Canis lupus familiaris: one gene and its partner. The protein of the gene in region 1 purifies or fractionates together with the protein of each later gene. This does not show direct contact. Links are inferred from orthologs where the notes say so. Each region holds a gene or a part of one and is shown on either strand. Other genes may lie near its edges.

Region 1 (5,346 bases):
TATCTCTCATGAATAAATAAAATCTTAACAAAAAAGAAGTCTTTAAAAAAAAAAGAATGACCCATTGAACCTGGCATAGTTAAGAATTAAGTCCAAAATTTTGGCCTTAAAAAAAATCCTCAGGGGGCACCTGGGTGACTCAGTCGTTTGAGTGGCTTACTTTGGATTTCCACTCCGGTCATGATCTCAGAGTCCTAGGATTGAGCCCTACATCAGGCTCCCTCCTCAGTGCAGAATCTGCTTTATGATTCTGTCTGCCTCTCCCTCTGTTCCTCCCCCCCACCCTCCCAACCCCCCACCTCCACCCCCCAGTCTGTCTGTCTCAAATAAATCTTTAAAAAAAAAAGAAAGAAAGGCAGCCCAGGTGGCTCAGCAGTTTAGCACCGCTTCAGCCTGCGATGCGATCCTGGAGACGCGGGATCAAGTCCCACGTCGGGCTCCCTGCATGGAGCCTGCTTCTCCTCTGCCTGTGTCTCTGCCCCTCTCTCTCTGTGTCTCTCATGAATAAATAAAATTTTTAAGAAAAAAGAAAATATTAAAAAAAAAAAAAAAGAAAACCATCAGTTATAGTCCTAGGAACTTCTGTCTCTCTCACACACACACACACACACACACATACACACACATACACTTGCCTACTCAGAATCAATCAGGAGCACATCTTCAAGGGTCCTTAGGCTTAGTAACCTGCTTTATCCTTGCATAATAGAAGGAACATATGTTTTCAACTTAAACATTGGCATTGTTAGGTATCTGGAGCATGATGGATTTGCCGCTTAATTTGAAATTCAATATTTTAATGTCTAAAGCTAAGAGAAAAGAGTAATATAGGAATAGTAGTCTTCAGGTCAATTTACATATTATTATTAGCACAATACCAGTTTATTCTTTTCAAGGTAAATAGCAAAAATTTTCTAGCAAAAGTATTTTTAAACGGACTTCTTTGATAAAAATAAATACATAACTAGACTTAACAGAATATGTGGTTTTGTGTGGATGTGTCATATTTTTCTTCTACCATACTTTTCCCTGGCTCCCCACCTGTTATTTCTGATTTCATGAGAAGAAAATGCTGAGCCAGACCTGGATGACAATGAGGATGAGGAAGAACCTGCTGTGGAAATTGAACCCGAGCCAGAGCCTCAGCCTGTGACCCCAGCCCCACCACCTGCCAAGAAGCGGAGAGGACGCCCTCCTGGCAGAACCAACCAGCCCAAACAGAACCAGCGTAAGTTACTTGTCTCAGCTCAGTAGGCTGGAGGCTGGCACCCTCCCCCCAACATGTTGGAGGAGCTGGCCCAGGCCCTTGTTTTGGGGGATGATGGGAACTAAGCCTTGAGAACAAGTTAAGAACACCAGGAACAAACTGTTAGGAACTTACTATTTAGTTTTTACTGGAAACCACGTGAGGAAGACCCAGGGAGCCTATTCTGCTTCAGGGAGAAGTAGTCCAGAGTAGAAGGGTACTCCTGTTCTACAAGATGGGTACTTTTAATGTGGGAGGGTTTTTGCAAAACAATCAAAGTCCTATCCCCGCTGGCAGAAGTGATATGGTAATAAACGCAAAAAAGCCTAATTTTAAAGGAAGAAGGATAAAGCAATTTCTGTGCTATGATCCATTCTCCTAAGAATTACAGGCCTGTGGATTCAAGTGCTGGCCTTTTGATTTGGGAGAGGACACAGACAGTAGAGGTGTTTCTCACCACCTCACACTACAAATGGCAGTGGGCAGCAGTCTTGTATTGGCCTCGACCTTTGTGACAGCAGGCCCTGGGGCACTCGGGTCTGTGTTCTGCTCCTTGTTGCTGTGGATATCCTGAAAGCCGGCAGCGTTTTTCTTTAACAAATGCATGATTTAATCTAGTTTTTATTGTACTCCCGGAGTCTCATGTGTAGATAGATGTCTATTGCAGGGGAGCAGGGGGTTGGTTGACTATAGACTCTTGGAGCCATTTCACCTGCACACACCAGAATGAAATACTGGTGGAGGGCTCTGGGTGTGGGAGGCTTCAGGATCTGAGATGGCTATTCTTGCTATAGGCGGTTCATCTCTAACAGCCCTGCGCCACACACATGGTGAGGTATTCTTAGTCACATGCTTTCGGCGTCTTTTGCCTATCTCATACTAGTGCAAAGCTCAATTTTATGACATTAAGTAAAACTAATAAGGCCTTTAATATGGAATTTGGGAGGCATGTGAAGATGAATGTCAGCATTTAGTTTTTTGATAGTTTCTACCGTTTTGGGGCTTTATGAATGGCAGTATTTTCGATCATTACGTCGTTTTTTACTTGCTCTGCTGCTAAGACTTTCCTACACTGCTGACATTCATTTAGTTTCGAGTTTGACAGGACCCTTGCAATCTACAGGGGCTTTAATGGAGCATTTGTTTTGTTCATGCTCTTTCTTGCCAGCAACAGCCATCATCCAAGTGGAAGATCAGAATACAGGTGCAATTGAGAACATTATAGTTGAAGTCAAAAAAGAGCCAGATGCAGAGCCCGTAGAGGGGGAGGAAGAGGAGGCTCAACCAGCTGCCACAGACGCCCCCAACGGAGACCTCACGCCCGAGATGATCCTCAGCATGATGGACCGGTGATGGCGGGGCCTTGCTCATCGCCAAGACTGCTCTGGGCTGTGTTTAAACGGCCCGCATCTTAATTTTTCTCCCTTCTTTCTTCTTTTGGCTTTGGGAAAAGCATCATTTTACACCATTTTACCAAACATACTGCGAACTAAAACTTCAAGGATGATGTTAGAAAAATGTGATTTTACTAGAACTTGCTGTTTGATGTTAGCAAATCATGGAATGTTCTGAGTCCCCAAGGGTTTACTATGAAGTGCTGAGGACAGTCTTGATGCCTAACTGGTTTTCTTAGATGGAAACAGAGACATTGAACCCTCTCTCTTGCTATGGTAAACCACTCCAGAATGGCCACCGGGTTTCCCAGAGTTCTAGGTCTTCTTCCCAGGAGAGTTTTTAATTGTAAATGCAGACTGGGAAGGACTTACACTTTTAAACTGATTTTTGCTTCTGCTTCTCCCTGACTCCCTTTGCTCGGAGCCAGCTGCACACCAGTAGTACGGCATGCTGCAGTCGGTGTCTGTCCTGAAGGCTTTGCCTCTTTCTTGGCAAAGTTTCTGGTATGGTCAAGCTTGTAAATAACTTTTTTTACATTTTAATCTTTTCCATTAATTAAGAGGTTGAAAAGAAGTGCAGTGTAAGAAAACCCAGCATTTTAATTACTTGCAAATTAAGTTACCACAGACTCTGTAGTGTGTAAATGTTGACAAGGAATTGGATCACAATCATGTAGCAGAATGGCACCCAGACTGCTGCCCGCTAGTGATGGACACCCACGTGGAAGATCGTGATTTCCAGCCCATGGAGCCAGCATTTGAACCTTGTACAATTAACTTTCAGTTATGATTTCCCATCTACATTTTCTTTGCTCTGTTTGTAGCTGAATTTTGTGTTTTATGACTCCTCTGTTCAAGCAGAAGGGTGATTATGAGTGGGTCACAGCAGCCCTTAAAAGCTGGGCCAGAAAATTTCACTAGGTCAGTAATTTAAACTTTGGATCTGCAAAAAAAATAAAAATAATAAACAATAATAATGTGAAACAAAACCAACTAAAAAATGATTCTTGCACATGAACTGTCACATGTTTGAAATGTGTTTTTTAGAGAGCCTCAGTCTTGCTGATTTCAAACACTTTTTTCTTCTGTGTATTGCTTTTAAAAGAGCCATCAGTTAGCTATCAGACTCTAGGTTGATGCATTTTGTACTTAGCTGTACTGTGTGATATTTTTCATTATTTTAGGACGCCAACATGAGACCTGTAATAAAATATGTAATGGGGTTGAAAGCTGGGGAGGAGGATCTACTGCTGTACAGCTAATAAATCATAACGGATTAACAAGTGCTCCAGACACTCCGTCACGTGTGATCTATGCTTAATGGGGGCCCCAGAGGGTCCGCATGGCCTCGGGTGCAGGCCTGGTCGCCTTTCAGAGGCACACTCTGTTCTCAGAGGCCACTTCCTCTCGAGACAGCACTTGGAAGATGATCTTGGCAAATGGTGGGATTATTGAGTGAATCCTGTTGTGGGTTTCTAACTCCCCAAAGGGGTGAGTAGCAAGTGTGGATGAACGACTGCTCGCCCCGTGATCCGCCTTAGGAGTGGTCCCTGCGGCAGAAGGGTGACCAGAGGTTAGAGATGCAGGGGCTCGTGGGAAGTTCTGTCCTCTGAGGCTCAGTTCAGTGCAGTCTGAGATCTGTACGTTGAATTCTGCCAAGTGCAGGATGACAGGCGGGGCCCAGTTTGCCTCAGAGAAGCTCCTGTGGGAGGGAGGCCAGTGAGTCCGCGAGCTGCAGGGACAGAGCCCTAGACCGCAGAGCTTGTTCAGAGCCCTGCAGGGGCAGGTGCAAGGGAGTGGGAATAGGAAGTTGACGTGTTAGTGAAACACCTGCTGCTGCTGCTGCTGCTGCTGCTGCTGCTGCTGGCCATTTCTGGACAGAGAGCTTCGGCAAACCCATTTTAGGTAAAAGCTTCAGCCACTAATTCTAGGGCTTTTTGACCAGAATTCTGAATTGGTGGTTTCCAGTGTGAAGTAACAAAAGATAAGGTATGTGTGACCACTTGGCTGCTTGTCCTGTCCACGTAATCCCGTCTCCCAGGAAAACAGGTAACGAGGCCTCAAGACTCAGAACCTGGCAGTCCGCTATTTGGACCGAGTGTTAGTGGCCTGACGCTGAGTGTGGGGTTCTTTGTCTCACGCATGGGCCAGCCCCTTTGGAGGCCAGAGTTCCCCCCCCTACCGTGTTTTGGTGGATGTATATAATTTGCTTAATTTTTTTGGTGTTTATAATCTCCAAGGAACAGTAAGTTCTTTATCTCTTATCTTCAGCATAGCTTTTTGTTGTTAAGATTTTATTTATTCATGAGAGACTCATGAAAGGGGGGTAGAGACGTAGGCAGAGGGAGAAGCAGTCTCCCCTTAGGGAGCCTTATGTGGGAGTCTGATCCCAGGATCCCGGACTCACAACCTGAGCCAAAGGCAGATGCTCAACCACGGAGCCACCCAGGTGACCCCCCAGCATAGCTTTTTATCTCTCGTGTAAATGCAAGTTGTTTGAAATAAAAGTAGGTCAGTTTTGGATGGAGAGGGGGCAAGAAAAGTCATTCTGATGTGTTAGAAACTTAAAGGGGATCCCCTATTGCGTAGCCCATGATATACCCCATGTGACTCCATTATGTATAAAACCTTTTATTTGGGACGCCTGGGTGGCTCGGTGGTGGAGTGTCTGCCTTCCGCTCAGGACGCGACCCCGAGGTCCAGGAC
Region 2 (5,562 bases), on another chromosome or scaffold:
GGTTTCTGGGCACGTCCTGGCCCTCAGAGGCCTATGCTGAGGGCTGCCAGCCTCACTGATCAGGGTGGGAGGGGCCTTATGCACCCGAAGGAGGCTAAGGAACATGTTCAGAATTCAGGGTGTCCGAATGGAGGTAGCGTGGGGCGTCCAGCAGGAGGCTATCTCTGCCTAGTGCCTACCTTCAGGGGCCCCGTATGTACCAGACCCCACAGAGGGGACAGGTGGGGTCAAAAACAAGAATCCGACGAGGCTCTTGGACCTCAAGAAGTCCCGGGACCCAAAGAATCAGCAGGCAGAGGAAGCATGGGACTCCTGGGAGCTGAGCCTTCTCCCACTCTTTGCCTGTGCCGTGGGGCGGCCCGTGCGGCTGCATGAGAGGCATGGAGTGGATGGTCCTTCCTGCACTGTGCACCACCTCCAGATGTGGGTGCTCTACAGGGGGCAGCAGGGCAGTACCCTGCACTTCTCCTAGTGCCTCTGCACCATTGGGGCTCTCTGGGAACGAAGCCAGACGGGGACCCCGACACTACCACAGATCAAGGTGCACTGGGGGTTGGCGCGGGGGGGGGCAACATAAAGCCACTGTTCCTTGAGCCCCGTGTTGGCGAGGCCGGAGATCCCGAGGTATGTCAGGCAGGGCTCCCGCCCCCGAAGAGGGCCGCGACCACAGAAAAGAAACTTCCATAAGTTTAAGGGGTGCCACAGCGGGCACACTGGACGGGGAGGGCCGGGAGAGGCCAACAGGTAGGACCCTCTGAAGGAACCAACAACTTCCCCATGCAAATCTCTTCTCCTGCAAACGACTCGCCCTTAGAGGTAATCTACGCCCTCCCGGGGTGACAGTCGGCGAAAAGATTCCGTCCCGCGGGAATCTCTCTAGATTCTAAAGCGTTTGAGAGGGATCCCTGTGTGGCGCAGCGGTTTAGCGCCTGCCTTTGGCCCAGGGCGCGATCCTGGAGACCCAGGATCAAATCCCACGTCAGGCGCGATCCTGGAGACCCAGGATCAAATCCCACGTCAGGCTCCCGGTGTATGGAGCCTGCTTCTCCCTCTGCCTGTGTCTCTGCCTCTCTCTCTCTCACTGTGTGCCTATCATAAATAAATAAAAAAAAAAAAAATAAAAAAAAAAATAAAGCGTTTGAGAGCATCGCGGGGAGGGCAACCCGAGAGGTCAGCGGGGATTAGCCACGGAATTCCGAATGTGGCCGATAAAAGCCGAGTGTTTCCGAACAGACCCGAAAGGGCTTGCGCCAATAAGAGAAGGCGGTAAGCCCGCGAAAGAGCCTTTCCGGAGAGTTCCGAAAATGCCCGATCGGGCCTCCGTGCCTCCATCGGAAATAGCCGAGAGCTTACGAAGAAGACCGGAAGTATCCAAAGACCCTGGAGCTAGCCTTAAGTAATTCACGGATTCTCACGTTTATTCATAAAATGAATGTTTATTGAGTGCCTATCCTGTGCTCAGCGCTGGTGAGCAATCCTGGAGAGAAACCCTTGTGGAAAGGGACTTCGGGCCTCTCGAACTGGACCCACTCGGAAATCCAGCGCTGGAGTTCCGAAAACACACGAAGGACCCTCGGAACAGTGGCGCTCAGGCTCCGAGAACACGCCCTCGGGTCACCAGCCGAAGAAGTCCGGAACTCTCCGAACGGTTGGCGACGAGGCGGCGCAAGTGGCCGAACGTTACCGAGCCGCCTCGGAGGCGGAAGGGAGGAGGCGGGGACAGGCGAGGGCAAGCGCGTGCCCACAGAGGAAGCGGAAATGCGTTTGGAATTAAAGGCGTCGCCGGGTCTTCTACTTGCCTCTTTCCGTCTCTCGCTGCCGTAAGGAAAGGAGGTGAGCGCGCGGTCCTCCGTCTTCCCGCGTGGTTGCGACGCTTGCCCGCGGCCTCTGCCGGCCCTTGCCTGGCCTCTGGCGCTGCGCCCCCCCGTCCCCACCGCCGGAGCTCGCCGCGGCATCTCGTGTTCTCCCCTCGTCCCGGGCCCAGCCCCGGCCCGCGGCTCGCCTCTGACGCCCTCCCCTGCTCTCTCTCCCCGCAGCAGCCGCCATGTCCGCTCACCTGCAGTGGATGGTCGTGCGGAACTGCTCCAGCTTCCTGATCAAGAGGAACAAGCAGACGTACAGCACGGTAAGCGGGGCGCCCGGGCGCGGGGAGGCAACCGCCGCCATCGCCGGGGTCCTTCCCGCCTCACGGCCTCGCTGCGCCCCCTTCCCTTCCCAGGAGCCCAACAACCTGAAAGCTCGCAACTCCTTCCGCTACAACGGTCTGATTCACCGCAAGACTGTGGGCGTGGAGCCGGCGGCCGACGGCAAGGGTGTGGTGGTGGTCCTGAAGCGGAGATCAGGTGAGCCCCCGGCGGGGCGGGGCTGGGATCGGGCGGCGGTCCACCCCAGGGGGAGGGGTGCTCAGGGGCTGGACGGCGCGACCTAGCGCGGCAAAGTGCTTGAAGCAGGCTAGGTATCCGTGCAGCGCTGCAGTAGTTTGACCCCTCAGCCGCCGAGTGCATTCGGAGACGTCCCGAGCGTCCCACTCCTACTGGACAGGCTTTTCGTGTGACAGAGGGTCAGGGGGACTGGAGAGCTTCAGAGGCAGGTGTTGTGTAGACCAGAGGCATCACAGTTCCTCACCTTTGTTCTTTGCTGGGTGGTTTTTTGGTTAAGATTTTACGTCTTCTATTTATTTATTTTTAAAAGCATTATTCACGAGAGAAGGGCAGAGATATATAGAGGGAGAAGCAGGCTCCCTGTTGGGGGGCGCCGATATGGCACTCGATCCCAGGACCCTGGGATCACAACCTGAGCCAAAGGCAAATGTTCATCTAGAGTCAGCCTGGCATCCCTTTGCTGGGGTATTTTAAAAGATGGGAGCAAGGTTTTTCCTGAACTCTGTTGAGGGCTGTTTTCTGTTTGGGTTTGGAGCCTACTGCCCAGGGCAGGGACAGCAGTGGCTGTGGCATGCTGGTTCTTGATTGGACTCCTGCCCACCCTGAAGGGGGGTTACTCTTTCTCAGCCCACCAGTGAGCATCCAGGGTTCTTGTTGTGCTCCTGAGAACCCCATGCTGCTGCTCTGTGCCCTGAAGCCCTCACTTCCCTGTCAGGTTGTTGGGTGGTCTCTTCCGGACTATCAGAAACTGGCATTGTTTTTTAAAGATTTTATGTATTCACGAGACACTGAGAGGCAGAGACATAGGCAGAGGGAGAAGCAGGCTCTGTGCAGGGAACCCAATGCAGGAGTCCATCCCAGGATCACGCTCTGAACCACTGAGCCACCCAGGTGCCCCAGGAACTGGCATTGTTTAAAGTCACTGGTGTGGTGAAGGGTCCTTGGTTTCTTGGGCAACACCTTCCACATCTGTTGTTTGGGGCATAGGACACTCCCCAAGACCTCGTTGACTGCTCTACTTTAGATCCTGACAGAGGCCCTCAGCTCTGCACACAAGGAAGGGGTGCTTTCCTCTGAACCACAGGCAGTGGGGTCCAGACTCCACCTGTGGATGGGCAGGCAGGTGCTTGCTGCAGGGCTCTTGCTCACCCTGGCCTCATCTTGTGACTCAGCTTGATTGGAGCTTCAGTCTCACAGGTACTTGCGAACCTGACCAGCGTGGGGTGAGCATCTTCCTGCCCTAGAGTCAGGCAGGCAGGTGGCCTGTGTGCCAGTGACCTTGGACAAGAGTGTTTTGCTTTCCTCTCCCCCCTCCCTTTTTATTTTTTATTTCTTTTTTTTTTTTTTTTAAGATTTTATTTATTTATTCATAGAGAGGCAGAGACACAGGCAGAGGGAGAAGCAGGCTCCATGCAGAGAGCCTGACGTGGGACTCGATCCAGGGTCTCCAGATCACGCCCTGGGCTGCAGGCGGCGCTAAACCGCTGCGCCACCAGGGCTGCCCTATTTTTTATTTCTTAAAGATTTTATTTATTCATGATAGACATAGAAAGAGAGGGGGAGGGCAGGGACACAGGGGAAGGAGAAGCAGGCTGCATGCTGGGAGCCCAATGTGGGACTCCATCCTGGGGCTCCAGGATCATGCCCTGGGCCAAAGGCAGGCGCTAAACCACTGAGCCACCCAGGGATTCCCGCCCCCTCCCTTTTTTTTAAATTTAAATTTTTTTTTTAAGATTTTGTTTGTTTATTCATGAGAGAGGCAGAGACATAGGTGGAGGGAGAATCAGGTTTCCCCACAGGGAGCCCAATGTGGGATTTGATCCTGAAATTCCAGGATCATGATCTGAACAGAAGGCAGACGCTCCACCGCTGAGCCACCCAGGCTGCTTTGAAGTGACTTTATGAACTTGTGTCAGGGACACAGAAGAGTGAACTGGTACAAGGCTGGGTGGACAGGGCTGGCTGTGGGGCGCTCAGGTCCCCCATGTACCACTGCACCATCACACTGACCCCTGCTGCTGCCACCCCATCCCCTGCCCCAGGCCAGCGGAAACCCGCTACCTCCTATGTGCGAACTACCATCAACAAGAATGCCCGGGCCACCCTCAGTAGCATCAGGCACATGATCCGCAAGAATAAGTACCGTCCGGATCTGCGCATGGTAAGCAGGGCTTCTGACCAGTGGGGCTGGAGCTGCTCTCAGGAAGCGGTGTGGGAATGTGTGCTGAGCCTTTTCTTTGTCCTTCCAGGCTGCCATTCGCAGAGCCAGTGCTATCCTGCGCAGTCAGAAGCCTGTGATGGTGAAGAGGAAGCGGGCCCGCCCCACCAAGAGCTCCTGAGCACTTGCCCCTGTACCCAGAGCAATAAAGATGTTAACCATCTGGCTTGGGCCTCCCTTCGCTGTGGCCCTGGGGCTCTGCCCCTATGCATTCATGTGGGTGCTGCCTGTCCCAGCGTGGTCCCCCACCCGTGTTACCATATGATTCACACTGTTGGGGCTGGAGGGGTCAGGTCTAGGTTGGGGGAGCTCTGTCCCACCATTTCTGCCCCCAGGACTGGGCGTGGTCCACGTTCTTATGTTGAACACGTCAGAGGTGTTCATGCACGTCTGTTCATGCAGCAGATTAGTGCATGTGACCAGGTAAAGTCCACTGCAGTCCTCACAGTCCTAGGTCTTCAACAACACTTGACAGCTCAAGAAAGACCATTTAGAGCCTGACACTAAGGGCTGAGGATCCAGGCCAATGGTCAGCCTACTTCCTGTTGGTGTCAGGGTACCATCTAGGACTTCAAGGCCTGGGCTGTGGGCCCCTGACGGCAGGAAGCAGGGCAGGAGCATATTCACCTCTCCCTGTGTGAAGTGGAAGCTGTGGGTCTTGGGCATAGGTGCAGCTTCAGGGTCCTCACAGTCCCTGGGCTGCCCATGGCTGCAAGTGACATTAAACTACCTGTCCCTTGCCAGGAACCTGGGCAGCCACCCATTGCACCCCCTGCTAGACAGAGTGTGAGCACCCCTGCTTTTGGCCCCAGTCACACTAGCCCATCAGGATAGGCCTCCCCAGGCTACCCTTGTCTCTCATCCTGAGGGGCCACAATGAGTTCTCCAGTTCTGCTTGCTTCCCTCCCACTGTTCTAGAACTACTGGTGATGGCTCCTGGGGAAGGACTCATAGACTACCCCC

What was found. Proteins that work in one complex are often made in the same cells at the same time.
Region 2: the proteins of CTCF (region 1) and RPL28 purify together in Homo sapiens (affinity purification with mass spectrometry; 3 studies listed by BioGRID and IntAct, with this or other methods). This does not show direct contact. The link is inferred for Canis lupus familiaris from reciprocal best matches to the Homo sapiens genes CTCF and RPL28.

What each region holds. Positions count from the first base shown.
Region 1 is NC_049226.1:82,392,618-82,397,963, reverse strand, and holds the end of CTCF (transcriptional repressor CTCF), read left to right. Parts: intron 1-1,063; coding exon 1,064-1,228; intron 1,229-2,414; coding exon 2,415-2,599; 3' UTR 2,600-3,935; downstream 3,936-5,346.
Region 2 is NC_049222.1:103,066,809-103,072,370, reverse strand, and holds RPL28 (60S ribosomal protein L28), read left to right. Parts: upstream 1-1,760; 5' UTR 1,761-1,833; intron 1,834-2,036; 5' UTR 2,037-2,044; coding exon 2,045-2,125; intron 2,126-2,218; coding exon 2,219-2,342; intron 2,343-4,423; coding exon 4,424-4,542; intron 4,543-4,630; coding exon 4,631-4,720; 3' UTR 4,721-4,765; downstream 4,766-5,562.